2 linked regions of the Oryzias latipes genome follow. The protein of the gene in region 2 binds, or shares a complex with, the protein of the main gene of each other region. Links are inferred from orthologs where the notes say so. Each region holds a gene or a part of one and is shown on either strand. Other genes may lie near its edges.

Evidence for each region.
Region 1: ints4 (region 2) and ints12 share a complex: the UniProt entries of both Homo sapiens proteins name them as parts of the integrator complex. The link is inferred for Oryzias latipes from reciprocal best matches to the Homo sapiens genes INTS4 and INTS12.

What each region holds. Positions count from the first base shown.
Region 1 is NC_019859.2:15,815,336-15,830,571, forward strand, and holds ints12 (integrator complex subunit 12), read right to left. Parts: upstream 7,209-15,236; coding exon 7,206-7,208; exon of another isoform or gene 7,199-7,205; intron 7,098-7,198; exon of another isoform or gene 6,942-7,097; intron 6,836-6,941; exon of another isoform or gene 6,717-6,835; intron 6,062-6,716; coding exon 5,903-6,061; intron 5,806-5,902; coding exon 5,653-5,805; intron 5,041-5,652; coding exon 4,859-5,040; intron 4,696-4,858; coding exon 4,536-4,695; intron 4,421-4,535; coding exon 4,277-4,420; intron 2,297-4,276; coding exon 1,742-2,296; 3' UTR 1,534-1,741; downstream 1-1,533. Other genes in the region: gstcd (glutathione S-transferase C-terminal domain-containing protein), read left to right, coding at 7,207-7,614, 9,458-9,910, 12,389-12,655. UniProt on the Homo sapiens protein: Component of the integrator complex, a multiprotein complex that terminates RNA polymerase II (Pol II) transcription in the promoter-proximal region of genes.
Region 2 is NC_019871.2:2,455,279-2,470,558, forward strand, and holds the start of ints4 (integrator complex subunit 4), read left to right. Parts: upstream 1-7,215; 5' UTR 7,216-7,293; coding exon 7,294-7,347; intron 7,348-8,245; coding exon 8,246-8,440; intron 8,441-8,776; coding exon 8,777-8,894; intron 8,895-9,004; coding exon 9,005-9,111; intron 9,112-9,289; coding exon 9,290-9,404; intron 9,405-9,522; coding exon 9,523-9,608; intron 9,609-9,713; coding exon 9,714-9,764; intron 9,765-10,232; coding exon 10,233-10,321; intron 10,322-10,446; coding exon 10,447-10,567; intron 10,568-11,667; coding exon 11,668-11,739; intron 11,740-11,813; coding exon 11,814-11,988; intron 11,989-12,100; coding exon 12,101-12,306; intron 12,307-12,381; coding exon 12,382-12,524; intron 12,525-13,060; coding exon 13,061-13,176; intron 13,177-13,404; coding exon 13,405-13,538; intron 13,539-13,684; coding exon 13,685-13,851; intron 13,852-14,687; coding exon 14,688-14,781; intron 14,782-14,858; coding exon 14,859-14,939; intron 14,940-15,015; coding exon 15,016-15,146; intron 15,147-15,235; and 1 more. Other genes in the region: BTB/POZ domain-containing protein KCTD14, read left to right, coding at 1-246; uncharacterized protein LOC105355351, read left to right, coding at 3,609-3,675, 5,328-5,802, 6,106-6,457. UniProt on the Homo sapiens protein: Component of the integrator complex, a multiprotein complex that terminates RNA polymerase II (Pol II) transcription in the promoter-proximal region of genes.

The sequences.
Region 1 (15,236 bases), on a different chromosome or scaffold from region 2:
TTAGTGTTTATGAATAAAAATATGAACATCTACTAAAAAAAACAGCAAATATAATAACATATATGTTTCTGGGATGCATATTTAAAGCTGTGTTTTTGAGTTGTCCAATTACAATGAGTTCTTCCATTATTGGATGATGGGCGTCCCTGATGGGATGGCCATGTTTCATGATGGTAGTGTCATGTGATAAATCACGCTGAGAATGAGTGTTGCTAAGGATGTGGGACTTTAGCAACCGGGAACCTTTAAGTTCAGGGGTGTCAAAACTTTTTGCAAAGAGGGCTAGATGTGATGAGGAGAATGTTTGTGAGACCCTGCAGCCTGCATCAGCCAGCAATGGCTGTGAATCTCATTTTCAAAGCCCATGCAATGTTCTTTACCAGTTAGCATCTTCTGTCTCGTAAACCTTCTTGATATTGAACTCCTTGAAAAACAGCCAGTCTCTTGGCATGTTAGGCCGACACAGATGTTATATTTCACAGAAAAATTTCCACTTGAAAGGAGTGGGCCTCATTGTCAGCTTACGTTTCTAAAAAAAAATTTATTTACAGTTCACATCTTAGAAATGAGCCAGAAAGTGTCACACTATAGTGTTTGCCACAGGTTTACAATGGTTTATAACGTAATCACATTCAAGAAATCGTCTGCACAGTTTTTCAGAAAGGGCTGGGAGCCCCATATTTTTGATTTTATGACAGGAGCCCGCGGGGCGGTGGAATTTTAACACAGGTCGCATTTGGCCGGACAAGTGCCGGACTTTGGACATGCCTGCCCTAGAGCGTGCGGAAGGCTACAGAAGCCAAACTGGCCTGTTATCATGAAAAGAAAAAAATGTCTCGAAAAAAATCGAATGCAGCTCGGAACTAAAATAAATAAGTGCTAAACTCTATACTAAAAAGAAGAAAGCTTAATGTTATTTACTTTTATAATAAAAAAGTTGGGAAATATTTTAAATAAAAGAGTTCCTCATGCAAAAGTATTTTGACAAAATACTGAGTCTTAACAGTTTGGAAAGTGAAATGTTATTTTCTTTTAGCACTGTTTCTTTTTTTAACTCTTTGCTGATGTCAAACAGCACTTTTTGAAAGCAGATGCAATCAGTTATGTTTTTGTATTGAAATGGTTGATCACAGTCTTTGTCTTTGTGAGAATGAACCACAAGAGCTCGCCTACGCCTTTGAGCAATAACGTGTTAAAAAAAAGCGAGCGGTTCCATTAAAAAGCAAACAGCACTTTTGCTGAGCACTTTTTGTTCTTCAGTGTTGTTTAGAGTAAAAATGAAGTGATTTAAATATGAAGTAAATACAATATATGTGAGAAGATTTATAGAAGAAGATATATGAAGTATATTTGTCAACGATCTATGAAGGTTTAAGAAACTATTTTGTGTGCATTTAAAGTGAAGAATTTTATCATTGGTGTTGAAAAGGTGACATTGTAAATAAAAAATGATGTTTATGAATAAATTGTTGTGGTACTTTTGTTCATTTTATATGGCATACTGACTCGCATCCACACAAGAAACACCAGCTACAATAATTTTATAAGAACAGGAGATTTAATGACATTATAGGTAAAAAGGAGCATTTTTAAGGGATCAGATCTAATGATGAAGTGACATTTTTCTACAAAGTTAGCTTCAAGTATGCTCCATGTGCAGCTCCTCAAGTTTTTGCAAAGTTCTGGCAATGAATTCACTAATTTCCTGTATGTTCCTTTCATCTTTTCTCTATGCATCCACTTATTTCTTCATCTTTTTCTGTGCTGCTTTCTTCTTGACCATTTGCAGCCGTTTCATGGCGTTTAGTTGGGATTCTTGAGAGGTTGGTGCTTTGTCTCCTGGAGCGCCTTTATGTCCATTACCGTTGTTTCCATTACCTCCTCCATTATTGCTGCCACTGGAGCCTGTTTGGGCGTTGCTCGGAGAGCCTGCCCCAGATGGCGAGGACACTTTCCCCGGGTTTTCTGTGCTCGACGAGCGACTGACTGGCTGCTTCCCCAAAGTCAGAGGTGGAGGAGGCTTGAGAGTTACCTGGCTGGAGCCATTTCCATTGTTGTTTCCAACGACTTTTCCTCCTGCAAGTCCTGACTTGGCTCCAGCGAGCCCTGACAACCCGACAGGTTTCTGACTAGGAGCTGTCAAGGTCTTGCTGCTCCCGCTCGCGCCAGAGGAAGCTAGTTTGGAGCTAGCGGGAAGAGAGGGGTTTGTTTTGGCGCCAAATGCAGCCCAGCCTGTCAGACCGCTGCTAGAGGAGGAGGATGTTGAAATAGTGGAACTCGCCAATGTGACAGGTGGCTGTGTGACAAAAAAAAAAAAAGAGAAAAGAATCAAAGTTAGGAAACTAAAGGATGTCACAAATTCGTCACATTTCATCAAAAATATTTTAAACCAAGAAGCAACCCCTTACAATTTCACGCTTGTCTCATTTCTATTAATCTTAAATATGTAACTTAAAAAATAAATAAAAAGACAACTTTGCTTTAAACCAATCCTTGGTTTTTAAGTACAGCTAGAGTAATTGCGTTTTTCTTATTGACTAAACTTTGTTACCGTGGAAATGTGAAAAAAGAAAATGGAAAAAAAAAAGTAAACATGATGCTTTTGCATAGGTATTACAAACAACTCCCCCCCCCCCCCCCACAACTGCTAATGTGACTGCTGCAGTTTTAAATGTCTGAGATATGTTTCTACATTCACATTTTTGTGCCAGAGGATGAAAATTTCATGTTTTGTTGTTAAAGATTTTTTTGTGCTTTGCCACCTCAGGTGGACCTGCTGCGTTGTTTTTAGTTCAAACTGTTTAAAGCTTCTAATGCAAACGTTATTTTTAGAAAAATCTTCACTGCAATTTCTTTTTACAATTTTAACATTTACACGGTATTTTCAAGTACTTTTTTAGTTTTTTACATTTAGATATGGATAGAAAAAGGCCATATTGTGCAGCTCCACATGCTGGTTCGCCACAGACCGGTTCAATGTCAAGACTATATTTTCACGGAACGGTCCGAACGGGCAAAGTTTGTGTTTAATCTTTTTAAAGCTTCTGGTTTCTGAACACCCTATTTTTTCAAATAAAATACTATAACAAGAAATTTTGTAAAAAAAAAAAAAAAAAAAATCAGAGACCATTAGCAGATTTTTTTAATTTTATTTTTTAACATATGACAAAGATTCAGTGAGTCAAAGTTGTTTATTTGTAAATAATTCAATGAAAGCAAATTTATAGTTTTTTTCTTCTTCTTTTACATAGAAAACCATTATAATAAATAACTCAACTCAGTCTGAGATCATCTTTCAGGGCAAAAAGACTGATCATATTTTGTTTTTACATAAATTCAGATTCACTGTGTATTTTTGAACACAGAGAAACATTTTCTCTGCTCTTATGTTTATTAATTCTCCCTTGCTGTAGAAAATGTCCCCTTTACAAGTTTCCACGAATCGAAACTTTATTTGATTGACACAATCATTCCCTGTAAATTGTTTGTGGATAGTTTAAATTTAAACTTTGTGATGAAGATTTTCCCTTTAATGTCAAAGTGGGGGCTAACAACCAGACGCTCACTTCAGGCACGTCCGGCTTTTAAGATGAGAAGGATAAATAAAGCAAAATAAATGACACAACTCACTTATTTTCTAAATAATAAACATGAGTTCATCACGTTTGCAACGTCATTATCGGGATGAGTGAAACATTCAAATGTCAGTCACTTCATATCAGACAAGCGAGCAGCTTCTGGTTCATGGGAATCTCAATAAATCCATATTTAAAGAACGACTCCTGATTTTGTCTGCATATAGCAGCTTTATTTTCCTTTGAAGTCAAATGTTCTTCCTCTGTTTCCACACTAACTCTTCTCTCCCCAAAGAAACTTTTCAAATACGTTTTATTGTTTGGTTTTGATTTGCCTTTAAGCGTTGAGCAACCAACTTTGCCTTGCGAGGTTCCGAGCAGATGCTTAAAGTCACGAGACGCGTTAAGACGGACGGATGTGGTAAACAAAATCCGGTAGTTTTTCAAAATAAAACTCTCTTTAGTATCAGAAAATACACTACTCTGTTGACAACGCTCTGGCTGCACATTTATTTTTCTATGTGCAATTATTCATTGAAAAAGAGCTGCTGAAAACAATTTCATTGTGCACTGCATAAAGATAATAAAAGATCGTGATAAACAAAACAGAAATGATCGAAGTTAGTGTATACATTTTTTTTTCTGTCTGCGGCCCGGGGGGTTGGAGACCACAGGTCTAGACGACAAAAGTCACCACGTACCTTCACCTCTGTCCTTTTGAAGGCTTGGAAGGTGTTGGCTGTGTCAATCTTAAGCTTGCCCTCCGTTTTCTTCACCAGCGTGTCTTTCACCACAGGCACTGATGATGCAGATGCAGGAGACGGTTTTTGTGGAGGTTTCTGCGCCTTGAGAACACACACACAAAAATCATTAGCTTTAATGAAGACTGTTGGTCCTGTTGCCATGACTCCCAGCTGATCACTATAAGAGTCAATACCCGAGCACAGGAACAGCTCTCACCATGCGTTTCATTTGCCTGGTACAACGAGCACAGTACCACACAAGGCGGGGGTCGTTGACCTCTTTGTCTGTCACTTGGGGCTTGTGGCAGTCCTGGTGGTACAGATTATGACACTCCTGACACTCCACCAACTGGTTTCCCATGGTCACCGTCATTTGTCTACAGTTCAGAGAAACGCAGACGCAAAAACAGTTGAGTGAAGAGAATTTCATACCAACTCGCACGTTGTAGAAAGAGAAACTGGATCCACAAACCAGAAAAATGTGCAAATAACAAAGAAACTCAAAGTTTCATTTCATTTCATTTGATAATTAACAAGCACCTGCAAACCACACAAGCCAGTCCCATTTCCATGGCAAAGTCGTCAGCATTAGTTTCATCGTAGTCGTGTATGTTGGGCATGAGGTCCTTGCTCGTCTGAACAGTTATAGGGGACGAGCGATTGTCCGGTTTCTCCAAGCGGGACTTTTTTGGAGGATCCACTTCAGACAACTCCACCCGTATCTATTTGTCAATGAGACAGAGAACGTATGAAATTTGAAAATTCATACCAACATTGGTGTTCAATCACACAAGCTGTTATGCTTAAAATAACCACAGATTGAGAAGAAAGTCCCAAGCAATGTCTATTATTATTATTTTAAACTAAGGATGTACATGTTTGTTAGAAATGGACTTGTTCATCTCGCTGTGGCATCATTTAGTTCATAAAATAAAGTAATAATATTCAATTACAAGACCCAGGAAAGCCATAAATCAAGACTTCGATTATTCATAAAAAAAAACAACCTTTAAGTTGCTGATATGTTAAAATAATGACCCATGTATGTTTTCTTTTTCTCTTTCCCTGATCAGGCATCCTTTTTCTGGTGTTAAAAAAAAGTCTCAAATTTTATTCCAAACATTTTTTTTTTGAGTGTTGTCATTTCTTTTTGCATTTGTCAATATTTTATGTCTCTTCAGGGCTTTATTCCTAAATTCTAATGATTGACAATTGTTGCAGCTTTAATTGGAATCAATGTAAATCCTGAAGAGAATTAATGAGTACAGTCCAATCATGGCACATGGTGTCATCTAAACATACATGATAATGTGACAACACTTTTAATCCCCCACCTTCTCTGATGGCCTCTTCTCTGCTTCTTTCTTGCTCTTCTCTGAACTGGATTTGGAACTTCCACTGTTGCTGGAAGATGGAGTGCTCAAAGACTTTGAGTCTTGCTTAGTCAGGCTCAGTTTGGACACAGAACTTTTTGGCATTTCCAAGTCCTAAAGATGAACACAGCAGAAAAGAGGAGCAATAAGCTCCATACGAATGAATTATCACTGACAGCGTAAGACTATCTTTATAAGAAGCGGATCTTACTTTTTGTAATGAGCGGTAGGAGGAGTCACCTCCTCTCGCAAGGGACTCATCGAGTAAAGCTTTGAGTTTCTCTGCTGAATCTTTGTTCTTGGAGTGCAAATAACCCAGAGCCTTTAAAAAAAGGGGGTCCAACTCCAAGCTGACAGGTCCAGCCATGGCCTAGTTAGAAAATGATTGAATAATGTTAGGTTTTCATTGACGTCTGCAAATTACAAATGTACACTTTGCTACAATACAAAACTATTTCATCTTATCTAGATTGCAAATTAAATATACTAACTATAATAAAAAACAAAAACAAAAACAAACATTTATTAAGTCAGTCACACATGTTTATAGGCGTCTGGGAGCATTTACAACAATGAATATCAATGATGAGCATATTTATTCAAAGTTATAGTTTGCTAATTACAATTGTAATCAAATAAAGCAATTTACAATGAACTATAGGCTGTCAAAACTAACAAAAAATACAGCAACCAATAAAAATGTTCATTTTTAAGAGTTTTGCCTAATAATGGGTACACAAAAACGGAACGTTTTTAAGACTAACCAGCTATTTTTCCTTATTTGCGGTATTTATTACAAGAAATCCTGCCTCTGCATTATTTACTACAAATATATAAAGAAATATGATGCCTGTGTCTATTAAAAACAACCCACAATGCTCAAATCCAGTTGGTAGGGTTTAAAGTAATCGTTGGTAGCAGATGGACGGAACAATATCACTGCGACACCGTAGGTAAAGTTATCTTCCCAAATGTCACCAACACGTCAAAATCCCCAGTCTATAGCTTTAAATGGGTAATCCTACCTCACACTCAGTTTCTGCAAAATGTTGGTCTCTGCTGTAGATATTTCTGTTTAATAGAACTCTTTCCACAAAGAGGAAATCGCCGCTGACGTTTTATGTCTTTCACAATGTGCACCCGATAAATGTGTCCGGAATCTAAGTGGGCGGCGCAAGTAGAACAAAAAATATACTTCACGTAATAGCAAAGCGAATTTGTTTTTTGTTTTTTCACTCGTATTTTTAAATAAGTTTTATTCTAACCGACTTTCTATCAATAAATGCATTTAAAATGTATATATTTTAACGACCAGCTGGTGGCGCTGTGGCAATACTCGACTCAATAACTCGTAGTAGAAGAAGAAAAAGCAGCACGCTGATAACGTGATGTTTGTAAAGTAGCCGGTCTGTATGACTTCTTTCTGACTGTTTTATGGCATTATTAGCAGTTGAAAAGACAAATAGTGATAATAAAAAATACTTAAACATATTTCTCCCATTCACAGCATTTACCATGACACACGCCGAACAACCCCCGTGCCTCTACTTAGAAGTTTGCAGCCAAAACGAGCAGCTGCGTCTTCCCCTGCACTCTTCTATAGTTCTGTTTCTGCTGTCTTACTGCGACTGCGAGTCTTTCAGAGTGTTTCTCGTCCTTGGCGACAGCAGCAGCTCCGAGCCTCTGAAGAGCCAGCTTCCAGCATCTGCAAGTCTCTCAGACGTCCAGGTGGACGAGCTGCCCAAACTGGTGAGCAGCTGCCGCCTCCCCGCTGCTCTGGATGAGAGCGCGCAGATCTGCAGGGCCGGACTGGCGGTGGTCCTCAGACACATCATCGACAAGAGCATCGAGGCTGACCCTTCCAGGAAGGATGTAGCAGCTCTGCTGGGCTTCAAAAAGACCTGCTTAAAAGCCTGTGCAGAGGTTGGTGCAATTACACTCTATCACGTCTCTGTAGGTTTGTTTTGGTTGTCAGGATGGAAAAACACAAAAAGTCTTTATGTGTGTTTTGAAAATATGAAAAGACCGTGATGCTTTGCATTAAAGGGCATCAAAGTTATGCAGTTTTACATGAAAGGAACAGCTGTTGTGTTTGTAGGCAAAAAGATGCCACAAAAATGACACCCCCCCAACACAACACCAAGTATCATCTTACAGTTTCAGGTCAATGTTGCCATATGTTACAGAAAAACAGCAACATTAATTATCAGACATTTCCCCCCGGTGACAGGTGGTGCACCTTGCCAACAAATTATGGATGTAATGATTAATTGACTAAAATCGAATTTTATTCCTATGATCCAACCAGATCTTTCTGACGCAAGCTGTTAATTGAATCGACCTATGAAATCATTTCAAAATGAAATAAATTGATTATTATCAATATTGGAAAGTCCCATTTGGATTGAGGCCTTGTGGGTGTATTTTACTATAACATAAAAACTGACAGAGTGCCATTACAGTGGGCAACACACATGTGATGGCAGTAAAAAAAGATACCTACAGTCTTGTCAAATTGACTCCATCATTGAACACCTAAAGGCAGGATTTGTTGCTAGCAGTACAAGATGACCCAGACCAAACTGCATCTACATATACAGTCAGGACCATAAATATTTGGACAGAGACACATTCTTTCTAATTTTGTTTCTGCCTGGAGTTGATTAGAGGACTCGTGCTTGCATTTGGAAGATTTTGCTGTGAACAGACAACATGCAGTCAAAGGAGCTCTCCATGCAGGTGAAAGGAGCCATCATTAAGCTGAGAAAACAGAAAAAAACCATGCCAGAAATTGCTACAGTATTAGGAGTGGCAAAATCAACAGTGTGGTACATCCTGAGAAAGAAAGAAAGCACTGGTGAACTCAGCAACGCAAAAAGACCTGGACGTCCACGGAAGACAACAGTGGTGGATGATGGCAAAATCATTTCCATGGTGAAGAGGAACCTGTTCACAACTGCCAACCAAGTGAACAACACTCTCCAGGAGGTAGGCGTATCAATATCCAAGTCTGCCATAAAAAGAAGAATGTATGAAAGTAGATCCAGAGGGTACACTGCAAGATACAAGTCATAAGCCTTAAGAATAGGAAGAAGGCTAGATAGGTCTTTGCTCGGCATGCATTTCACTTGTTGCAGACTAAACTTCAGACAGAAAGGCCCACAAAGAAACAGCAACAGAAAGCCACTGCAGTAAAGGCCTGGCAGAGCATTCAGAAGCAGAAAACCCAGCATCTGGTGATGTCCATGAGTTCAAGACTTCAGGCTGTCATAGCCAACAAAGAGTTTCCAACCAAATATTAGTAATGACCATTTTGTTTTCAGTTATTTCATTTGTCCAGGAGCCCATGAAATGAAGGGATTGCCTTTAAAAAATGCTTTAGTTTTTCACATTTTTATGCAATCTTTTTGTTCAACCCATGGAATAAAAGCTGAAAGTCTGCACTTCAATGGCATCTGAGCTGTTATATTTAAAATTCACTGTGGTAATGTAGAGAAACAAAATTAGAAAGAATGTGTCTCTGTCCAAATATTTATGGTCCTGACTGTATATTTAGTTGCCATCTTGCTGTCATATGATACACTACAAAAAAGTAACATTTTGTTGAAATTATACTTTAAGCTTCGGTCACAAGCATTTTTTTAAAGAGCTGTTAAAAGCTCTTTTGATCATTTTTTCTCAGGGAATTTTATTTTGAAATCGGCCAAAACTGTCCAAAGCGTCATATAGGTGTTGAGTAAAGTTCTGTATCTCTTTCCCCCTGCAGGTGAGCAAGTGGACCAGACTGTGTGAAATAGGCATTCCTTCTGCTGTGGAGGAACACCTCCATAACCCAGGAGATGTGGGGAAGCAGCTGCCTCTCCCTGTTCTCACCCTGGAGAGCCGGCTAGCAGAACCCGTCAAAGTCCACAACGACGACAAAATCCGGAGGCAGAAGCTCCAAGAGCAGAAACGCAGGGAGAAGCTGGAGCCTGTTGGAGGCCAGGCGAACAAGGAGCCGTCTCCAGGACGTCCGCCACAGGTTTCTGACGAGCTGGAGCTGAGGGCAGCTTTGGCTAAGCTCTCTGTGGTGTCAGTACCGGCGGTAACCACCAGGGAGAACTCTGAGATCAGGAAAGTGAAGACCAGCGAGCTGCCGCCACTGGAGCACGTGTTCGCTGAAGGGCTGTATTTCACTCTGACTGATGTGGTGCTCTTGCCATGTATTCATCAGTATCTGGTAAGGGATTTGCACCGGATCATTGAGCAGTGTGACTTATTCAGAGTGCCGTGATAAGTGAGCCCTCATGCTTAAGGACGCCAGTCTTTCCATTTTTCAAGGATTCCTCTGCTTTATGATCCATAAAGACACTCTAAATGATCATTTCATTTTGTTATTACTGCATAAACCTTAAACCTTCGCTAGACTTGACACGTTTTTCTTCAAAAACCTTTGAGGACATTATTTCGTCCCGAGCCGTTGGTGAGGGTCATTATTCATATTTGGTCTCCCTACGTGAACCCTTGCAGGGCCTTACTTCCCATTATGCACCTCTCTGTTTGAAAAGTGAAGTTGCAAGTTTTAACTGGCTTGCTGAGACTTTTATTGTGATAACTTGTCAAATTATGCATGACGTATGGTTTTAGCACTCCGGTCAGGGTGAGCAGACTCCTGTCAGGTGCATTCAAGCAGAAACTTGAGTAAAGAGGACTTGGCACCTGTTTGCTCTCACAGGTGGTCCGGAGCCATCTGGCAGAGCCTGATAACAGCGTGCGAAAGGGTCGCACATTAGGGAGGTTAAAATGCATTTCATTTGGGAACTTTTTTTTTTTTTTTTTTTTGCAGAATCGAAACACTTTGGTTTTTTTTATTGACCTAAAGTTGAATCAGATTCGAGTGCGAATACTAAAAATGAGTGCCGCTCATTTGACAGTAGGAACTAATTTAACAGCATTAAAGTGCTTTCAAAAGGAGCAGCAGTGGTTGAAGCTTGAAAAAAACAATTTAACAAAATACTTAATTAGCTCTTTGGAGAAAGAAAAAGATTGAGCAATTTTAAAGAGTTATAGAAGTTTAATGGAATGTCTACAGATATAAAATACTTGTTGATTTGTAAAAATACTCTCCTCTCAGGCATTCCCATGAGTCTGTCAGTAACTGAACATGTTTGCCCTAAAGCACCTCCAGGTGTTTCTAATACCCCACAAAAGGAATGGGTCTCGCTGGAGCCAAAATATTTGATTGTGGTATTTTGACCAACATTGTTATTCAAAACTAAACAAAAAAAAACTTACCACTATGTATGAATGGTATGGATTATAATTTCTGCAGCAGTAAATTAAAACATTACTGTAGTGATGATTATCCCTATAACAGTTAGACGTATACGTCCTGCAGCCTTTTGGTGCTTCCTTCACATTTAGAGCTTTTAGCAAGACTTAGATTAGTACATTTTATCTAGAGTTCTTTATTCATTTTTTCCCCGTTTTTATTCCACACTTTTGTTCTGGTAAGCTAACAAATGTTTCATTCATACCTGTTTTTCTGGCATGCCATGATAAACTTCAAACTGCATTGCTTGGTTAAATCCAGATTTTTGCATTGTTGCTTTCTTAGAAGATTACATGCATTCCCTAAAAGCTTGGGTTTTTGGTTCAGTCTTTTTAGGGAGCATTACTGCTAAAAGACTGTGCCTTAGCTGTGAAAGTTTCAGCAAAAATGAGTCTTGCAGCTTTGTGCGTTCATAGTTGTGTCCTTTTGGCAGCTGCCCTTAAATCACCACTTGGGTGTGCAGGGTTTACTCTATTCCCAAATTTAACCAGTTTCTCCGTCCATTTTTCTAAGATTTCACTTTTCTATTTTATTGTTAATAAACTCTAACCTGCAAAAAAAAAAATTGAAACTGCCTTTTATTTTCATTTAGTTTGTACTTTGAATAGGTTCCTACTTAACAAGCATGTTATTCCTATGATTAACTATCTGTTTGTGCCTCAAAATGATCTATATAGCATGTTTTTTCTTAACACATCTCAAATTCTTCCCTTTTGTGAACCCCGTATTATTAAAAATGCCTTAAAGTTTTATTTAACAAACAAAAAAAATATGAGTATTTTTCAATATTTAGATGGAAAAAAAGAAGCTTTTTTTCCCTTTCAAATCTGAAAACTGAACATTAAGCACAAGAATGTCACAGGAGCAAATGTTCTGTTTGTGTTTTTGATTTTACTGGATAATTAGCAGTAAAAGTATTTCCTTTTACATTTCTTTGGAAAACCATTTGCACCTCCATGTTTTCATCTTGCCTGTGCTGATAGCTCTTGTTGGACCTGTTCTATGTCGTTCTGGAATGCTTTAGTGAGTCTCCAGCCTCAGTTTCACCTCTCAACTGTCTCAGTCTGTTCCTCAGATGTTGGGATTTAACTGATGTTCTCACAGTGAGGCTTTTAGCAGTCAGCTGTGCTCCAGTGGTTTCCAGTTTCATACTCAGCTTAGCGTGTTTTCTCTGTCCACAACACACATCCCACGCTGTCTCCTGTGGCTGTCTTCTTTATCCGTGATCACAGCTTTGTTTGTCTTAGGTTTCTATGCAGAGCCCCGGTTTGACTAGCAATCGCTTGTTAAACCTGACATTTATAACGCGTTGGTCCGAATCATCTAATCAATACTCTGCTTGTGTTCTCCCTCCCCTCATTTTCATTTGCTCTGCTTATCTCGAAGTGTTCCCTTCAAGCCAGTGCCCCCAGCGCTCTGCAGCAGCTTCCCAACCTGCTCCGTTGGTACAACCGTGTTCAAGAGGTGCCCGGTGTCATGCGGGCAGCAAAAGACTGTGGGCTTCATCTGTCCACCCTCCAAGTTGCCACGACTTGCCCTCCATGGCCGTCAGCCCATCCTTCAGCGACCCTGCTGGAGGAAGAGGGAAGTCAGGAGACGACCACGCCACTTCCGTTCGTCGGGGGCCCCCGGCCAACGATGACCAAACTTAAAGTAAAGCTTTACTTTCTTTTTACCTATTCAACCCATTGACTCTATATGAGAACTGGATTAAGTGAGTGGGACGTTACCCACAGAAAATGACTAAGTAGTGGTTGGTCAAAAACGGTCTTAATCATTGTTTCTCTTTGGAGTGTAGCGATTAATCGATTTATATTCCTAAGATCCAACCAGGTTGATTTGTCTGAGGCAAGTTGTGTAGTCAATCGACCTGTACCATTACAAAATCATTTCAAAATGAAATAAAGCAATCATAATCCATATTGGAAAATACTGCTCTCACCAATCAGGAGTGAGCTTGTTGGAAGGCCACACCCCTTCCACTTGAAAGCAGGCTCTGGAGAATCTGTCAATCAAATGTTTCAAACGTTCAATGTGAGACCACCTGCTTGAATAACTTGCACTACAGAAAAAATATGAAAATAAAAAAAGTGTGAGAACAAGAATGGTTATTCTGACAGAATAACTGAGTGAGTCACATCTGTTTATTACTCAGGAGAAGTCTATGCGGGTACTTCCTGTTTAGTATGCCATGGGGGGCAGGGGGCCCTCAGTCCAGTTCTCACATACATTCAAAGGTTTTACCCTAATGCCTTCAGAAAGTGTTTGCTAGATAAAATCTACAATGTCTGAATTTTTGATTGTTGTTCTCCAGTTAGAATTTTCCTTGATTCCATAAAACAACATTCAAGTCTCTCTGTTTAAGTGAGTTGTGAGACAATCTACTTATTTTTGGTTGTTTCTGATAATAATATAATACCGGGAAAGACAAAGTAATGAAACACTGACCTTTCTTTTTAAAGAAAAACAAAGTTTACAACAGCCTCGTACTGCGCTTTTTAAAATGCACGTTTGCACATCATTCCCACCGGATCCCAGAGCCACTTGCCACTGTATTCAGCTGATCCTTCTCTCAGGTGCAACAAAGAAAAGATAAATCCATTCCGAAATACTCCAAAGTTTATAGTCAATCCAAGAAATGCCTTGAAATGACTAAAAATCTTTAAGTGAAAGGGAGACAGAGAAGCAAGCACAATCCACTACCTGATCTTAAGCTGCATTTCCCTCTGGATGCATTGATAAGACAATGACACAGTCACATGCATTTGTAGTTTCAGAGCTCCCCAGATAGCACCTCTGCCATTTTTGAGCCAGGTATTGCAACGAGAGATAAGCCGGAGCAGTTATTCAGGGAGAGACTCTCTCGTCAACTTTGACTAACCTCTCACAACTGTTTGCTTGGCCTTCATTCTCTCCCTGTGAAGACATTCCTTTGATTTCCAGCTGGCTAGATTTCTTAGACGAGGTGGTATAAGGTCATGGAAAGAGAGAAAACGGTAATAGAGGGCTTTAGAGTTTGGAAAACGCGGGGAACTGGCTGAGCAGGACGGGAAGTGTCTCACGTTTGCCGGGGTTGTTGGATGAAATTTCAGTCGAAGCCCAGATGTGTACAAATGACAGTTTTCATGGTGGGTAGAAATTGAAATCTGACATTAAAACCGAGAGGAATGTGCGCACACGCAGCCACTGGCACAATGGCCACCATTCTTCCTCTCTCCTTAAGGGATTAGAGCGATGGCTGCACGTCGCCAACATTATGTCTTGAGTGCAGCTGTTGTGTTGTCTTAGCCAATGGGCTGCTGTGCACAAGCACCCTCGTATACAGCTTTGTGTGCAGGGGAGATGCACAGGAGGAAGAGGTGGATGACAACCAGTCCTTCACTGACCAGAGGCACTGATCCCATCTTGCCGTTATCCACTATATAAATGGCTCATAAACCTTCTCACTTTCTCATTTTCCCACTTGAGTTGAGGCACGGTGATGCATGCGAGTCAAACTGCCATGTGCAATGAGCTGTAGAGGCACAGCCTGTGATCCAAATGCAAATAAAGTTTGCCCCCAGCACTGCAAAGTTATGGACAGAAAGGAGAGTTGCCAAGTTTCTAGGGTTAGTTAAGTAAAAAGTGAGTCCAAATTTTACTTTTTGTTCAAATAATTGGTCTCATCGGGAAGCTATTGTTTAGGAAACTGGTTTCGCCACAGTCTGTTTTGGTGGGATCTGGTGGGATATGACACTAGAGCAACACTGAAACTTCAACTTAAATAAAGAAATCTTTCTTCCTTTATATATTTTGATGGATGTAGTTTTTAAATTGGTGACTTCAGCTTGTCTGAATCAGGCCCCAGCTGCAAAAGCAAATAGTGTTTTTGCATCCCTTGTGCTGTCTTATGGGGTCCAGATGACCTCACTCCCAATGTTAAAGTGCCTAGGATAGCACACGGGTTAATACCAGCAAGGCCAGAAGAACAACATGACACAGGACAAACCATTTTGGTCCACTCTGCTCCAATGCTGCTAAAACAAACCAAAAAAGGGCACTTTCTGTTATCATACCCCACCCAGTATGTGTGTTTGCACATCCTTAACCGAATGCAGCCAGTCTCTGAGTTTTTTTTTAGAATAACTGGATTTTCCTATTCTCCCTAAGCCTGCAAGGGTTTAGGACTAGTTAATCATCAGCAGTTCAGACAGAGATAGCTGGAAAGCAAGTCAGGTAGTGTTTCTCAAGGACA
Region 2 (15,280 bases):
CTGCGGACAGACGAGGACCTGGGTTTCCACGACAACGCCATAAACAACCTGGAGGCGGACAAGGACTCGTTAGTGACGTTCGGGCCGTGGAGGGCGACGCCGTCTGTCAAAGACCTGCTGGACTGCGTGAAGATGGACATTGAGCGTCGGGGCTACAGAGTGAGCATCGAGCCTCACGTCACAGGGAGGCTGTTCCTGTCCAGGAGCTACAACTTCTTCTACAAACTCACCTTCACCTGGTGGTGATGAGGCGGTGAGACCAGAAAACACATCGTCCCTTCAGATGAAAGGGGTTATCAAAAGTACAAAGTTTGCCTGTTTTCACTCATGTGGGTGTGAAACTGTGTCTTAAGTTCCTGCAGATATTCTAGCTTTTCGGACGGCTCTTTCCCTCCTGCAGCTTCGCAGCATCTGTCTGTGTAACGTCTGCTGCCGTCACGCCGGCTGAGAGTTTTCACAGCTTTGAGGGGAAATTCTGATTCGGACCGGAGTCCTGCGTCAAACTCTCAATGTTGGCTAATCCAACAACCGCTTGAAGGGAAACTGAAAGGTGCAAGCGGCGAACGCGCTGGATGGCAGGGCCGCTGTGACTTCACCACAATACAAGGTGGAGCACGCCACCACATCCTGTGTGATCAGCACGGGGAAAAACAAGACGGGTCAGCAGAGAGGACAACTGCACCCCTCTGGCTCTGCTCATCCACGATAAAACACGAAAATCAGAATTTCCTCCTTCAGCAGATGCAGCCTGAACTCATTTTTCAATAAAGATTAGGACAAAATAATCCGATTTTTCTCTTTGATTTCATGATCGTCTGTCGAGTTTATCGGTGCAGCACATTTTATTTATGAACACAATTCAAAGGGCTTTACTTAAAACATTAAAATAAACATTTTATAGAAAGATTAAAGGAGGGATCACCAAAATAAATATTTTTAAAATTTCAAAAGAGAAATATTAAAAGTAACAGTGCAGATAAAATCTAATCTAATTCAGCTGAGAACAGGCGGGTCTTTAACCTGGACTTTTGTGTCTCAGCTGATCTAAGGTTTTCTGCTAGTCTATTCCAGATCTGTGGAGCCTAGAAGCTGAATGCAGCTTCTCTATGTTTGGTTTGAACTCTAGCAACTGACAGAAGACCGGATCCATCCAAAGCTTTATAAAACAAGAATCCGAACCTTAAAGTCTTTCCTCTGGCAGACTTGCAGCCAGGGGAAAGACCTCAGATCTGGACTGATGTTTTGGTCTCCCGAGCTGCAGAGTTCTGAATTTGCTGCAGTTTCCCGATTGATGTTCTTGGTTGTCCTGTAAAAACACGGTTACACTTAAGATGAATGCATGAACTAGTTTCTCCAGGTCCTGCTTACAGATCATATCTTTAATCCTGGAAGTATTTTGAAGATGACAGGCGGCTGCTTTAATAGAAATAGGAATATCTTTATTTGTCATTGTACGTCGTACAACAAAAGTACAGTGCAATTTTCCGGTGGAATAAAAAGGTAATTTAAAAAAAACAACAACTAAAACTGCGAATAAGACCATATAAAACACCAGTAGGTTACACCTTCTCCAGCTATTGCGCGCTTCTCTTAATAAATTAACCTTGTTTAGCAGTGTTTAAGGCCACGATGGCTCTTGGATAAAAGCTGTTGTTTAATCTGTTTGTCCTTGTTTTAATTGTCCTGTATCTTCTGCCTGAAGGCAGCAGTTCAAACAGAGAATGTTCAGGGTGTGATGGATCCTGCAGAATGTTCTGAGCCTTTTTTAGCCAGCAGGAACTGTACAGTTTTTCCAGGGATGGAAGAGGGCAGCCGATGATCCTCTGGGCTCTCGTAGTGACTCTCTGGAGAGCTTTCCTAGCTGCAGCTGTGCAACTGGCAAACCAGGCACAGACACAGTGTGTTAAAATACTCTCTATTGCGCTGCGGTAGAGGGACACTAGCAGTTTCTCACTCAGACTCATCATTTGCAGAGATAAGCCCCACCACTGTGGTGTGTAATGTTGTTTATCAAAATGTAGACCTGTCTCATTGACTGTATCGGAGAAGTGGAGTGAGCGAGTGTGATGTCATCCATAGAAAATGGTTTACTTCCGTCTCCAACCAAATGAAGTCAGTTCAGTCGCCTGTTTTTCTTGATATGGACGTCACCATATCTGTTCGGCTCACCATCAACGGTTGGAACGTTGGATGTGGGGGTCAGCAGGCTCCACCTACTTTTAAGGCATCTGATTGGTCAGCTTATAACTTGTATATTATGAACCACAGAAAAAATGAGGATTATCAAGAATATGTTAAAAAAAATCTTATCAGGTCAAGAATGGTTATTCAGACCAAAAGAATGACCGTTTTTTTCTCTATGGGATTTTAGCTTCTTGGAGCCAGCAGGTACTTCCTGTTTGGAACGCCACTCAGTCCAGTTCTCATATACAGTTAATGGTAACAGATCATTTGAGCTTTTGTTTCAGGAGCTTTTCCAGAATCCACTGGTTCCCTGAAATAACTTGTTTTTATTGGATGAAAAAGATAGTGAAGAAAAGTAATCAATTTGATGTGTAATTCCAATAAATTAAAAATGGTGTATCAATTCATGAAAGACATTTACCAAACACGAATATACTACCTACATGGATCAACCTGAAAAAATAATTAATCAGTAAAATAACTGTCATTTCAGTTCATTTAAGTCATCAGTCCTGACTCATCTTTAGCATGGGGGGGGGGGGGGGGGGGGGGGCGTCATATTTGTTGGGAACATAGTCACGAAGCCATTACAGTGCAGATTCAGCACATCTATAAATCACGTCTGTTCTTGGTTTCAGTTTCTGCAGGGTTGGCGTGCGTCACCTAAAAGATTTTCTCTAGATTATTCTTTACTTCACACACTTCTTCATCCATGTTAACAGAACCATGCAGCGCTGCATCAGCATTTCACCGTCACAGTTCCTCTGAGGAAACCTTCATTTTCATGACATCTTGGCAGGATTGTTGTCGTCTCGTTCCTGCTCTTTCTGGACTCTCAGCGTCTTCGAACGTCGGTCGGCCTTCAAGAAAACAAGCAGCTTGTTCAGGAAAATGTCTTTTACGTCGTCTGTCCTCCTGACGTCTGCAGGCCGATGTCTTAAAAGCGCTGAAAGTTGCAGAAATGTTTTTTCACACCTTCATTCTCACCCAAAGAGGAGTGACTCTGATCTTTGATGAGGTGGGTGACCTACAATGAAACTCTCATTTTACTTTGGTGGCAAGAAATATATTTAGAGTTTCATCCTCACTGCACACTTTTGGTTAAACAATTTCCATCTTTTTAGAGATTTAAATGTCAAAACTGTCAATGGTGCTTTTTGAAAGCCATAAAAAGGGACATAACTTAGATTTTTAGTTTGCAGAAGGCTGACAAAAAAAAAAAAGAAATAGAGACGAGTCATGAGAAGCAGAGAAAAGCTGCTGAAAATCTGAAGGTGTTGACATAAAGCGAAACATGAAGACCTTTCTCGTTCTTTTGAAGGTAATTTTGTGTCACTAGAGCAGGAAACGGTCACAGGAGGAAAGTAAAGGTGTCTGCCTGCAGAGCGCACCCGCAGAGCAGATTGAGCTGTGGTGGAGGTGAAATGACAAACATGACAGGTGGAAAACGCCTGAAAAGCCTCCTGCTGCTCCTCAGCCTGCACCTCTCAGGTAAGGCTTCTTCCTTCTCCTCTTCACTCGGTTTGCTCCAGCTGCTCGGCTTTAGACATTATAGGAAAAAGGGATGTCAACATGATGTCTTGGACTTAAAACCTTCTCGAAGCCACGAAGATGAGTTAAAAGTTTCAAGAAAGAAGATTTTAAACTTTAAGAGAATTTCACCTGGAAAATTTTTTTAGATTTACATTCTTATATTGAATTATGCTTCTCCCTTTTATGGAGTTATGTCTTCTATAATAATTTTATTGTGTCATAATGTATGCATTTGTAATTGTCTTGTAATTTTTTTTCGTTATTTATCGTTTGTTTTTTTCATTTTTGTTTTTAGCTTTTTATGTGGATAATTTTAACATCTGTCCGGACACAACAGATGGAAAAAAAAGTCTAAATCTGGCTCCCTGAGAAATAAAACGAAATAAATAAACAATAAACTGATGTAAATAAGATGGCATAGGCAGATTGTAATAGGTATTATTATTTTTTTTTATAGAAATTAAACAAACTTATTCTGTCAAGATGAGGGGAAAGAATCTCAAAAGTTTAGAGGAGATTTAAAGGAAAATGTAAAAGTTTTTATTAAACTCCAAACGAACTTTAGACTCTTGTCAAAACGTCAAACTGGTTCAGCAGAAAGTTTTTGTTCTGGATTATAGCAGAAGTAAAGAGGTTTTTCCGTGCTGACATTCTGATTTGTTTGTTGAAGCTTTAATTACCAAATTAACTTTACAGTTTAATCTGGTTTCCTGGAGTTCATTATGGAATATTTAAATACTCCCCAGTTAACATTAAAAACAGGGAATATGACTTTAAACCCACACATTCTTTCTTTTTAAATCTGTATTTTTCTATTCTTGAACCGCCTTTGTCAGGAAATCTTACACTGCTATTAGTGAATCTGGCCACAGGGGGCGGTATAGTAGCTTCTGTTGTTTTACATCAGGCAGCAGTGGATGCAGTTTACTTTTCAAGAGCAGAGTAGTGTTTTACATTGTAAAGTGACCTTGACTTTCTAGAAAGTCACCTAATAACTACAATATATTAGTAATAATATTAGTAATTCCATAGAAAGCAAAAAAATAGAACTCTATTTTTTATTGTTGCCCTTAGGTCGACGTTTTTTTGGACCAGCAAAGAAAAATATATCTTATTCAAAATTGCATCAAACCTTATAATTAGAGTGGCTACACTTGACAGTAGTAAGGCACATGTCTTATAAAGCTTTATTTCTTTACTTTTAAAATTGTATTATTTATTTTGCACACTGTGTTTGTTGTAAGTGTCATGTCATTTTTTTTACCTTGTTCTATGTGGAGATTATGCTTTAAATGAATTGCTTAGGGGGACTTATAAAGTTTCTATTCTGTCTGTATCTTATTGTGTGGTTGTAGAAGTATTGTTTTTGTTTTTTTATGCTATTTTTAGTTTCATGAACAAAACTTTGTACTGGTATACTACGTTTTTATCCAGAGAGCTACATTTGAAGGCCAGAAATCCACCGAAAAAACCACGTCTGTTTGTTGCGTCTATGTCTCTAATAGTGTAAACCCAAATGATCTGTGTGCAATCAAAATATGCTGGGATGGGTTTTAATGTCACTGAAGATAAATTAATGTAATTAATAAATTAATGTCTGCATGTTCCAGGTGTGAGAAGCGACGACAACACTGTGTTTGTGTACAGCAAAGTTGGGGATGAAGCCCTCTTGTTGTGCTCCATTGCCTCCTCCGACTGCTCCTCCATCACCTGGACCTTCTTCAGGAGCGGTCAGGTGCGTTTCTCCAAGGAGGTGATCCAGGGGCAGGTGAACAGAAGTTCGGAAAAGGCCAGTCGCTTGACTGTCGCCTCCAACTGCTCCCTCATCCTTCGAGATCTTGCCCTGGGGGACGTGGGCTCCTACGTTTGCTTGGAGCATGAGAGGGACGTTACTACGGTCTACCTGTCCATCCTCGCCATCAGCTCTCCCTCCAACATCATGGAGCTCAGGCCGGGGGGGACGGTCGTCCTGAGCTGCATCCTCTCTAGCTACTATGATGCAGGAAACTGCAGGCAGTATTCAGGCGGCAGTTTTAAGCTACGCTGGTTAGCAGAAGAGGGGACAGAAATGGACAATCACAGCAGGTTGGAAAGAAAACATTCTTTTGCTTTTGATACTTTACAACAAAAAAAAATAAACTGAGCATAAACCTGGATTATGTTGAATATTTAAATAAATTAGGGGTGCACATAGACTTTTAGAGCTCAAAGAAAACAAATGTATGGATCCCTGAACTTAAGGAGAACTGAATTTTTATTTCTCAAGTTTTCTTTTTTTGTGTGACTTAAAATTGAAATGAATCAGTTTGATTATCTGCAGAAAAAAAGTAAATCTGTAATTCAGGCTTTGAAATGAGAGTCACAGCTGTGATCGTGCTTCTCCTCCAGGCATCAACTGACTGAAAGAACTCACTGCAACGCCACGCTGGTCCTGAATCTGCAGAAGGAGGACAACGGCAGGAGGTGGAGGTGTCAGGTGGAGACCAAGCCAGGCGAAATAGAGACTCATTGGGACTTCACCTCCTCCTTTTTGTTTGAAAACACCTCCTCCGCCCGTGTTCTGCAGCCTCCTGCTGACGGCTTGTGTTCCGTCCGGCTGCCCATCAGCCGCATTGTGTTGTGTGTGGCTCTGCCGCTCATGGTCGGCATCGTGGGATTGGTCACATGGGTGTCGGATAGAAAGAGGAACAAGATGTTAGCTGCTGCTCTGCAGCATGACACCATGGGAATCAATCACTGACCTTTGAGATGATGTTTCTCCCAATGACACTATTCATTTTCTTCACTCTTAAGCTTTTATTCCTAACTTAACAATCTGCACTTCAGCTTTCATCTGAGTACATTTTACTGTTTTTTTAGTTGTCTAGAAAAAAACTTGATATTTGAATGTAAACAGTGTAAAACTTTACAGGCCCTCATTCTCTCTATAATGGAATCATGTGTTTAAATTTAGAAATTTGTAGATGGTTTCAATATTTTGTTGTTAAATACTACCCCTGTCTTTCTTAAGGTAGCGCGGATTACTGGATTTAACTGTCTTAACTGAAGTGACTTATTTGTTTGAACACATGTTTATACAAGTCAGAGGAAATTTGTAAAAAAATACTTGTTTTTTTTTATCTTTATATGCAAACAATAAAAAATATCATCAGATTTTTGGCTATTAGTGCTTTTATTTTATTGTTCTTCTAAAGTTGCTTTATAAACATTTTGCTATTGTTTTCCAAATTAAAATATTTTATGGTGATTTCAAAGATGTTCTATTTCTTGGCTTGTTCTAAAATATTCATGTTTAATGCACATAATTCATTAATTTATTCGTATTCATTCGTATTAATTAATTTAATTCTAAAGTTAATATTTCTAGACAAGGAGTTATTTTTATAGGCCAAAGAAATATTTTAATATTTTATGAAAAAACTGAAGGGTGTCTTGGACATTCATAGACTGCGGACTACCCTGAGTTCTCCACTCCCGGCTTCCGTAGGAAAACAATGCATTTTCACAGCTACGGAAAGTGTAAGGGGACAATTCTGCGTTTTGAGGAAAGAATTGTCTGTGCGTACCTACTGAAACATGGCAGCACATTTGAAGAAGCGAGTGTACGAGGAATTTTCAAAAGTCGTTCAGGTAAACGTTATAATTGTTTTGTTCGTCAGCTTGTTTTTGTGCGCAAGACCTTAATATGAAGCTAAAAACTGCGCTTTCAAGCTAACAGGACCGTTTGCGCATGCTAACTGATTAGCTGACTGAACAGCAACAGGAACCCGTTGCAGCTTCAACAACTCAACACACATTAGAGTTTGTACATGTTTGGTGACTTCATTTAAGGTCAAGTTGTGGAGCTGACTTTCTTTAATGTCACAAATATTTGGCCAATTGCAGCCTAGCTAAAGTGGTTAGCATCTGATATAGCTATAGCAGTCGTTCAGCGGTGCTTTCAGATGTCCTCGGACTTTTATGTGTTTTCTCCTAAAATTTAACTCTTTTTAAGGCCCATTAACTTGGGAATCAGACGTGGTTCAGATATTGGTGGTCATCTCTATCAGCCAGGTTTTTTCCTGTATGTTCAGGAACTAGTAAGACAGAAATCCATTCTATTCATTAACAACATACCCACATATTCATTAAAACAGATTCTATTTTGATTTAAAATGTTGCAGAAATGTGACTTTATACTTTAACTGGTTGCTCTGTGAATCCTGTTCATGGCTATATGTGAAAAGCTCATCAGATTCAGAGGGGAACTGTTTTTGTTTTTTAAAGTTTTTGAGTATCTTTATAAAGCAGATTTTATGAAAAGAATCTAACTCTTTTTAATTAAATTGTTCTCAGATGTTGAGTAGGAAAGGATGTTTAGGTGGTAATAACACATGTTGAATATATTTTAAAAAATCATAAACATTGATCCTGTCTTTGCATTTTTTGTAATAACCTTTAATCATTTAAATAAAGATTGAAACGTTTTCTATGTTTTTTTTTTTGTTTTTTTTTGCATAAATAATCTTCACTGTCATCGTGTTTTCAGATTCCTCATGAAGAAGCTCCGGCCAAGAAGCTGCGTCTGTCCAAACCCAGCAAGTCTGCTGCGCTGCACGTTGACCTCTGCAAAGCCACCAACTCCACCGACGCGCTGCAGTACCTGCTGCAGTTCGCACGCAAGCCCGTGGAGGCGGAGAGCGTGGAGGGCGTGATCCGGATCCTGCTCGAGCACTACTACAAGGTAAACGATGATAATGATCAGCAACAATGTGATTTTTAGAGCCGCTATGACCCTGAGCAGGATTCCACAAGACAAGATGATGAATGGATGTTGGAGATGTGGGCGGGGCAATGGTCGTTCTTTGGAAAATAGATTTCTAAGATTTAGATTTGAATGTTTATTAGTATAAAATGTGAAAAGAAAGTTCTAGTTGCTTTTAATTTTATAGAGGCGTTACTTTTTATTCTTACTGTAACATTTCAATTGTTTAAATAGTTCTAGATAGTTTCTGAATATTAGAACTCGACACCTTTGTTTGAACCGAGAAATGCGTCACGCCAATGTGTCTCATGTCAGGAAAACGACAACTCTGTGAGGCTGAAGATCGCTTCTCTGCTCGGTCTGCTGTCCAAAACCCGGGGCTTCAGCCCGGACTGCATCTTTGATGACGCCATCAACACCCTCAGCAATGAGAGTGAGACACACTCCATCCCTTTTTATTTTCATCAGACCTCAACTGTCCTCTCTGTCGGCCTTTGTGGCTTCATGTTGCGTTCAAAGACCCTTTACTGTCTCTGTGGACAGACTCCCATCAAGTCCTCGCTCAGCTGTTGGGCACTCTGCTGGTCATCGGGACTCAACTGCCAGAGAGTCCTGCAGTCAGACTGAGGCTGACCGAGGTGGCCTGCAAGGTAGCACACACACAAACACACACTCACGGGCACACAAGCACACGCAAATGCAGATGCACTCACAGACATTTACATATATAAAAAGAACACACACACACACACCGATGCACGCACTCATACTCATGCATTTACATACACACATTCCAGCATCTGATAGTTGTGGTCGTCTCCTCTGCAGCATCTGTCTGATACGCACTTCGGGGTGAGGAACAAATGTCTGCAGCTGCTGGGAGGTCTTGGCGTGGCGGACGCTCCTCTGCTTAAAGACGGCGAGGGATCGAGCTCGTCTTCAGGTCTGAATGTCTTAAAGAGGAAACTCTGCAGGCTGTTCAGAGCTTTTCTTCTGAAGCATAACATGACAGCCGTTTGGGTCAGGATGGGTTCTTATTATGCCTTTGACTTGAACAACAGGAGCTGTGAGAGAAGTTCAGACCATCATCAGCGATTACTTCGCAGACCAGGACCCCAGAGTCCGCACCGCAGCCCTGAAGGCCATGGTAGGTCACAGCGGAGCATCTTTACCTGCCAAAAACCTCCACACCGGACGCTGAACAAAGATCCCACGAAGTGCATAACTAATCTGAAGACTTTGTTTGTTTCAGCTGCAGCTTCACGAGAGAGGAATGAAGATCCATCAGATCATCTATGAGCAGGTAGGAGCTCAGGTTTATAGTTTTCACATTTAGGTCAGATTCTGAGGGATTTGATGCTTTGGAACAGAAAACATGGAATCAGTGAAGAGATTTCAGATTACTAGGTTTCACTCACAGCTGAAAAATATGTTTATTTCTTTATTTAACAACTAGTTTTAAGATACTAATTATTTTTTAAGTGTTGCACCTTTCCAGCCAGTCAGAGGCCGGGCCCATATAAAAACATATGTAGTTCAAAGACGTAGGGGTTTTTGATTTATTTATTTTTTTACCTGGGTGTATTTAGTAAATTGGGTTCAAGGTAAAAGTGCTTTTATTTTGAAAAAAACTCAAAAGGTCCAGGCTGTTTTGGTTTTGATTAAAATGCCGCCACGAGCACAGCATCCTGAGGATTTTCTTCAGCTCTTGACGTGAGCCCGGGTGAAGGTCTGAGGAGGAGCTGACCCGTGTTCCTGGTGTTTCCTGCAGGCCTGCAGACTTCTGTCGGATGATTACGAGCAGGTTCGCTCTGCAGCGGTGCAGATGGTTTGGGTTCTCAGTCAGCTGTATCCAGAAAGGTGAAGTTTCCAATTTAAATCCACATCATGTAGGGAAAAAAAACAAGAAAACGCAGGATTTACTCCTCAGTCGGAAGTTCCTCTCTCTTCAGCTGTCTGACTCCTCCTGCTTTCTGTCCAATCAGCATCGTGCCCATCCCATCGTCCAATGAGGAGATCCGGTTGGTTGATGATGCGTTTGGAAAGATCAGTCACATGGTCAGTGATGGTTCCTGGACGGTTCGGGTGCAGGCCGCCAAAACTCTGGTAAAACGAAACATTTGTGATTTGCTTTTAAAATTATTTTTCCTGAAGAGAAATGTTTAAGACAGTAATTCAATCACATTTTGATTACTTTCAAGAAAAAAAAAAGATTTATTTCTTTTCTCCCACTGTCTTTGAACGCAACCATTCAATCAACAATATCCCTTCAAGAAAAATTAAAAAGGTTTTTAATTCAGACCAAAATATGGAAAAAAAGAAATAAAATGCTGAGTGACAGCCAGAATAACTAAAGAAACTAAAAATACATTTATCTATAAACTACTGTTTTAATTGCTTTAGGAAAACTATAAACCAAAATAGTTTTTTGTTTTCAAAAACTCTGAATGTTTCACCACACAAAAATCCTAAAAGCCTCTGTGTAAGTGCCATATGTGAGGTCCCGCCCTGATAGGTTTATTGGAAACCTACACTCTGCGTGTGTCTGCATCTCTACAGACGATAAAAAGATGATCCAGATAACAAGAGATTTTAGCATCTGTGGTGTTTCTGCCTTACAACAATCTGACACAAAACCCTTCTTAAAGACCCACAAGAAAAATGTGTTCATGGTCATTTATAAAGAAAATGACGCTTTAAATAGCATTTCTGAGTATTTCTTTCTTCAAATTGTTGTGAATCCAGAGCAGACTCACGTGAATTTCTAATAAACTCCTACAGAAACTATGTTCTGACAAAACCATTTTGATTTTGGCTCAAAAACAGCATCATCGTAATATAAAAGACCACCGGGAACTCTTTGAAAATAGATCAACAGATGATCCAAGAAGGATTTTAATCATTTAAATTTCAGGTTTTCTCCAGATGTTTCTTAAAGAGATGGACATGGTGACTCAGAGTCTCTGTGGACTAGAGAACCCAGATCGTTTTGTTAAACTGAATGATATATATTGTTTCTTTCATAGGGATTCTAAGTCCAGGCTTCATTAAACACTCTTGTGCTCTTCTATTAATATGCTCACATCTTAACCAAATATTCCAAAGATGAATAAAAAAATCAGAGGAACTTTATTTTCATTCGTTACTTTGTTGGATGAGTGTTTTTATGGTGGAAAGTCTTCATCGGCTGTTGTCTGGCGTTTCAGGGCTCAATGCTGCAGGTCAGTCCTCACTTCCTGGAGCAGACTCTGGATAAGAAGCTGATGTCAGACCTCCGGGTGAGTGGTCGAAGCCTTTTTCTGCTGGGATCTGCTCAAACGCTCGGTGCATTGGAAAACCTGTTTGTGTTCAGAGAAAGAGGACGGCCCACGAACGGGCCAAAGAGCTTTTTGCCTCAGGAGAGTTCTCCTCCGGCAGGAAGTGGGCCGACGACGCCCCGAAGGAGAAACTGGACACCAACACGGTCAGCCTGATCGCCTCGGGGGCCTGCGGCGCCTTCGTTCACGGTCTGGAGGACGAGATGTTTGGTGCGAGAAACAACTTTCTCTCAAAATGAGCTTCTACGCTGCTGTCCTCCTTCAAACCAGCTGAGTTTCCGTCATCTTTGTGCCTCTCCGGTTTCTCCGTTTGAATGCTCAGAGGTGCGCATCGCGGCGGTGGAGGCGCTGTGCCAGCTGGCTTGCTCTTCACCCAGCTTTGCTGAAAAGTGCCTGGACTTCCTGGTGGACATGTTCAACGACGAAATCGAGGAAGTGCGGCTGCAGTCCATCCACGTGCTCAGGGAGATCTCCACCCACATCACCCTCAGAGAGGACCAGCTGGACACCGTCCTCGCTGTCCTGGAGGTAAACCCGAACCGCCGACGCCACGGTCCAGAATCACTGAAGGTCATGTGGTGAAGGGAATCTCTCTCTGTCCAGGATTCATCCAGAGACATCAGAGAAGCTCTCCACGAGTTGCTTTGTTACACCAACGTGTCCACCAAAGAGTGCATCCAATTGGCTCTGCTGGAGCTGCTGAAGAACCTCAACAAGTACCCGACCGACCGCAACTCCGTCTGGAAGTAAGAACTCGTTTACGCTCCGTTTCCCATCCCTCAGAGCCCAGATCTTCAGTTCTGAAGGCAAACTTCAGCGATTCTGTCTGCTTTTTGCTCCGAGACCAGAGCAAACATCCTGCTGGTTTTTCTGAGGCGTTTTCATTTTTTGAAAATAATTACAGATCCTGCTGGAAACAGAAGAAGAGTTCTGTCCTAATGGGAGGTTTGATTTTTGATTTGATTTGAAATGGTTTATTTCAAGCAATCAAAGCAAGAATAATGCACAGAACATCTACAATCAGCGCTTATACATTCATACAAAGACGTATCAAACTTAGGATAATGTTATTAAAAAGTCTCTATTGTGTGAAGACAAACTTGAGTAAATCTAAACGTCTTTGAATGCCAACTTTCTCTCCTCTGTGATTTTTCACCATATTTACGCTGATAAATTCTGTCGAAACGGTTACTTTAGCTTCCAAAATATCAGAGGTTTTCTGAAACCATTTTTGGTCAAACTGCTTTAGAAACCGCTTGTGGTTTTTCTTTCTTCTGCTCAGGTGTTTGAAGTTTCTGGGCTCTCGTCACCCGACGCTGGTGCTGCCGCTGGTTCCTGAGCTGCTCAGCACTCATCCGTACTTCGACACGCCGGAGCCCGACATGGACGACCCGGCCTGTATCCTTGGCCGAGCGCAGTCGCCGTCTGCAGACAGCAGAACGGCTGAAGCCGTCCCAGCTCTGATCAAACACTCATTTATTCAAAACCCACTAGAATGATGAATTAACACATTAAAAACGGATTTTCTCCTCTTTTATTTTTCAAACCGGCTCCTCCGGGTGTTGTAGCTTGTTGGTGGAGGTGACGTTTTTCTCTGTTCCTTTTCTTCACTCCTGCTGATCCCAGACATTGCGGTTCTGGTTTTGGTTTTCAACGCCGCCAAGTCGTGTCCGACCATGCCAGCGCTGTTCTCTGACCACACCTTCAGGCACTACGCCTACCTGAGGGACAGCCTGTCCCACCTAGTTCCTCCTCTCAGGGTGAGGGCTTCCTTTCATGTCCTCCATGACAGAAGATGCAGGAAATTTAAAAACGTTTCCAAAAGGAATTGAAGAAATTGAAGTGTGTATAAACGGTGAACGATCTGGTTCAACGCTGACCCCCTTGTAACTGTTTCCCGCTTCAGCTGCCAGGCAGGAAGCAGGTCTACAGTCTGGACTCCGTGGACTCGGATGCTGGTTCTGGTTCTGTGGAGTCGGCCCAACTCTTCCTCCAGCAGAGCCTTCACAGAGTCAGTACCATCCAAAACCTGGAAACCCCTGGAGGTCAGGACCTGCTGGACTTCACCATACGGTAGGGACAAACACAGGATGTCCTTCACACACAGGAAGTCCTTCACACACAGGAAGTCCTTCACACGCAGGAAGTCCTTCACACGCAGGAAGTCCTTCACACACAGGAAGTCCTTCACACGCAGGAAGTCCTTCACACACAGGAAGTCCTTCACACACAGGAAGTCCTTCACACGCAGGAAGTCCTTCACACACTGGAAGTCCTTCACACACTGGAAGTCCTTCACACACAGGAAGTACTTTTAGAGCCTGCAGCCGTTTGGAGCGTAAACTTCTGAAGAATCTGTGCAGCTGGAATCACAGGAACGCCAAGCTTCTAGGAGATGATCTGGCACTTTACCTTTAACGTGTCTGTGATTTTAAATCTTTACAAGTACATAGATGGTTTTATCGCATGCCGAGTCCTTTGAGCAAATGTAGAGCCACAGGAGCTCCTCAGGGCTCAGTGTTGGGCCTCCTTCTGTTGCATAAACCACCAACCAGCAGGAGATGACTGTGTCCTTCAATTCACAGATTCACGACCAAAGTCAAAAATTGCAGAAAAACCACCCACCATGACAAAGATTTCAACATTTACAGCTGTTGTTCTCCAAATATTCCTAAACATTTGGATTGACTCTTTGGTTTTATATAATTCCAAAAATTTAAAAGTATTTTAATGATCATCATATTACTGAGTTTACCGTCTAAAGTAAAGTTTCACCAAAATTTTAAAAACTAATACATTTGCACAGTTTGACAAAAACGTGGTTTAAAACCAGGAAAAAGTCCGGAGGAATCCTCCGTCCCGGCTGTGTGAACATTCCCTCAGCTGCTCTCCTCCCGTTTGTCCCGCAGAGACCTGCAGCGGCTCGGAGAGCTGCAGACTGAACTCGCTGGAGCTGCGGATTTCTGCGCCACGTACCTGCGCTGCCAGCTGCTGCTCATGAAGGTGGGAGAGGAACGCCGGCAGGCCTCTTCCAGAAGCTTCCTCAAGCCGTAAAAACTCACAAGTCTTCGTTCCTCCAGGCTCTGCAGGAGAAGCTGTGGAACACGGCCGTCCCTCTGTGCCTCAAACAAAACGTCACGGCCACGGCCGCAGCTCAGCAGGTCAGTGGGCATGCACACGCATGCACGCACGCCTCTGTAGGAGCAGCAGCTCTGACCGAAGCAGCTGTGGTTTCAGATTGTGGAGGAAACCTACAAACTGGAGTTTCTCTACAGCGGCTTGGAGAACCGGCAGGTGGCCACCATCCACCACGTCCGACTGCAGGCCAAAGCTCTGCAGCTCATCCTGACGGCTCGCACCAGACAAGGGTCAGCGCAGCCGCCGCCGCACACACACACACACACACACACGCAAGAAGTCATCATAAGAGGAATCAAACGCTCTGCTTTCTCCCCAGACTGGATCCTCTGGTCAGCAGCGAGAAGTTTCTTCAGGAAGTGGA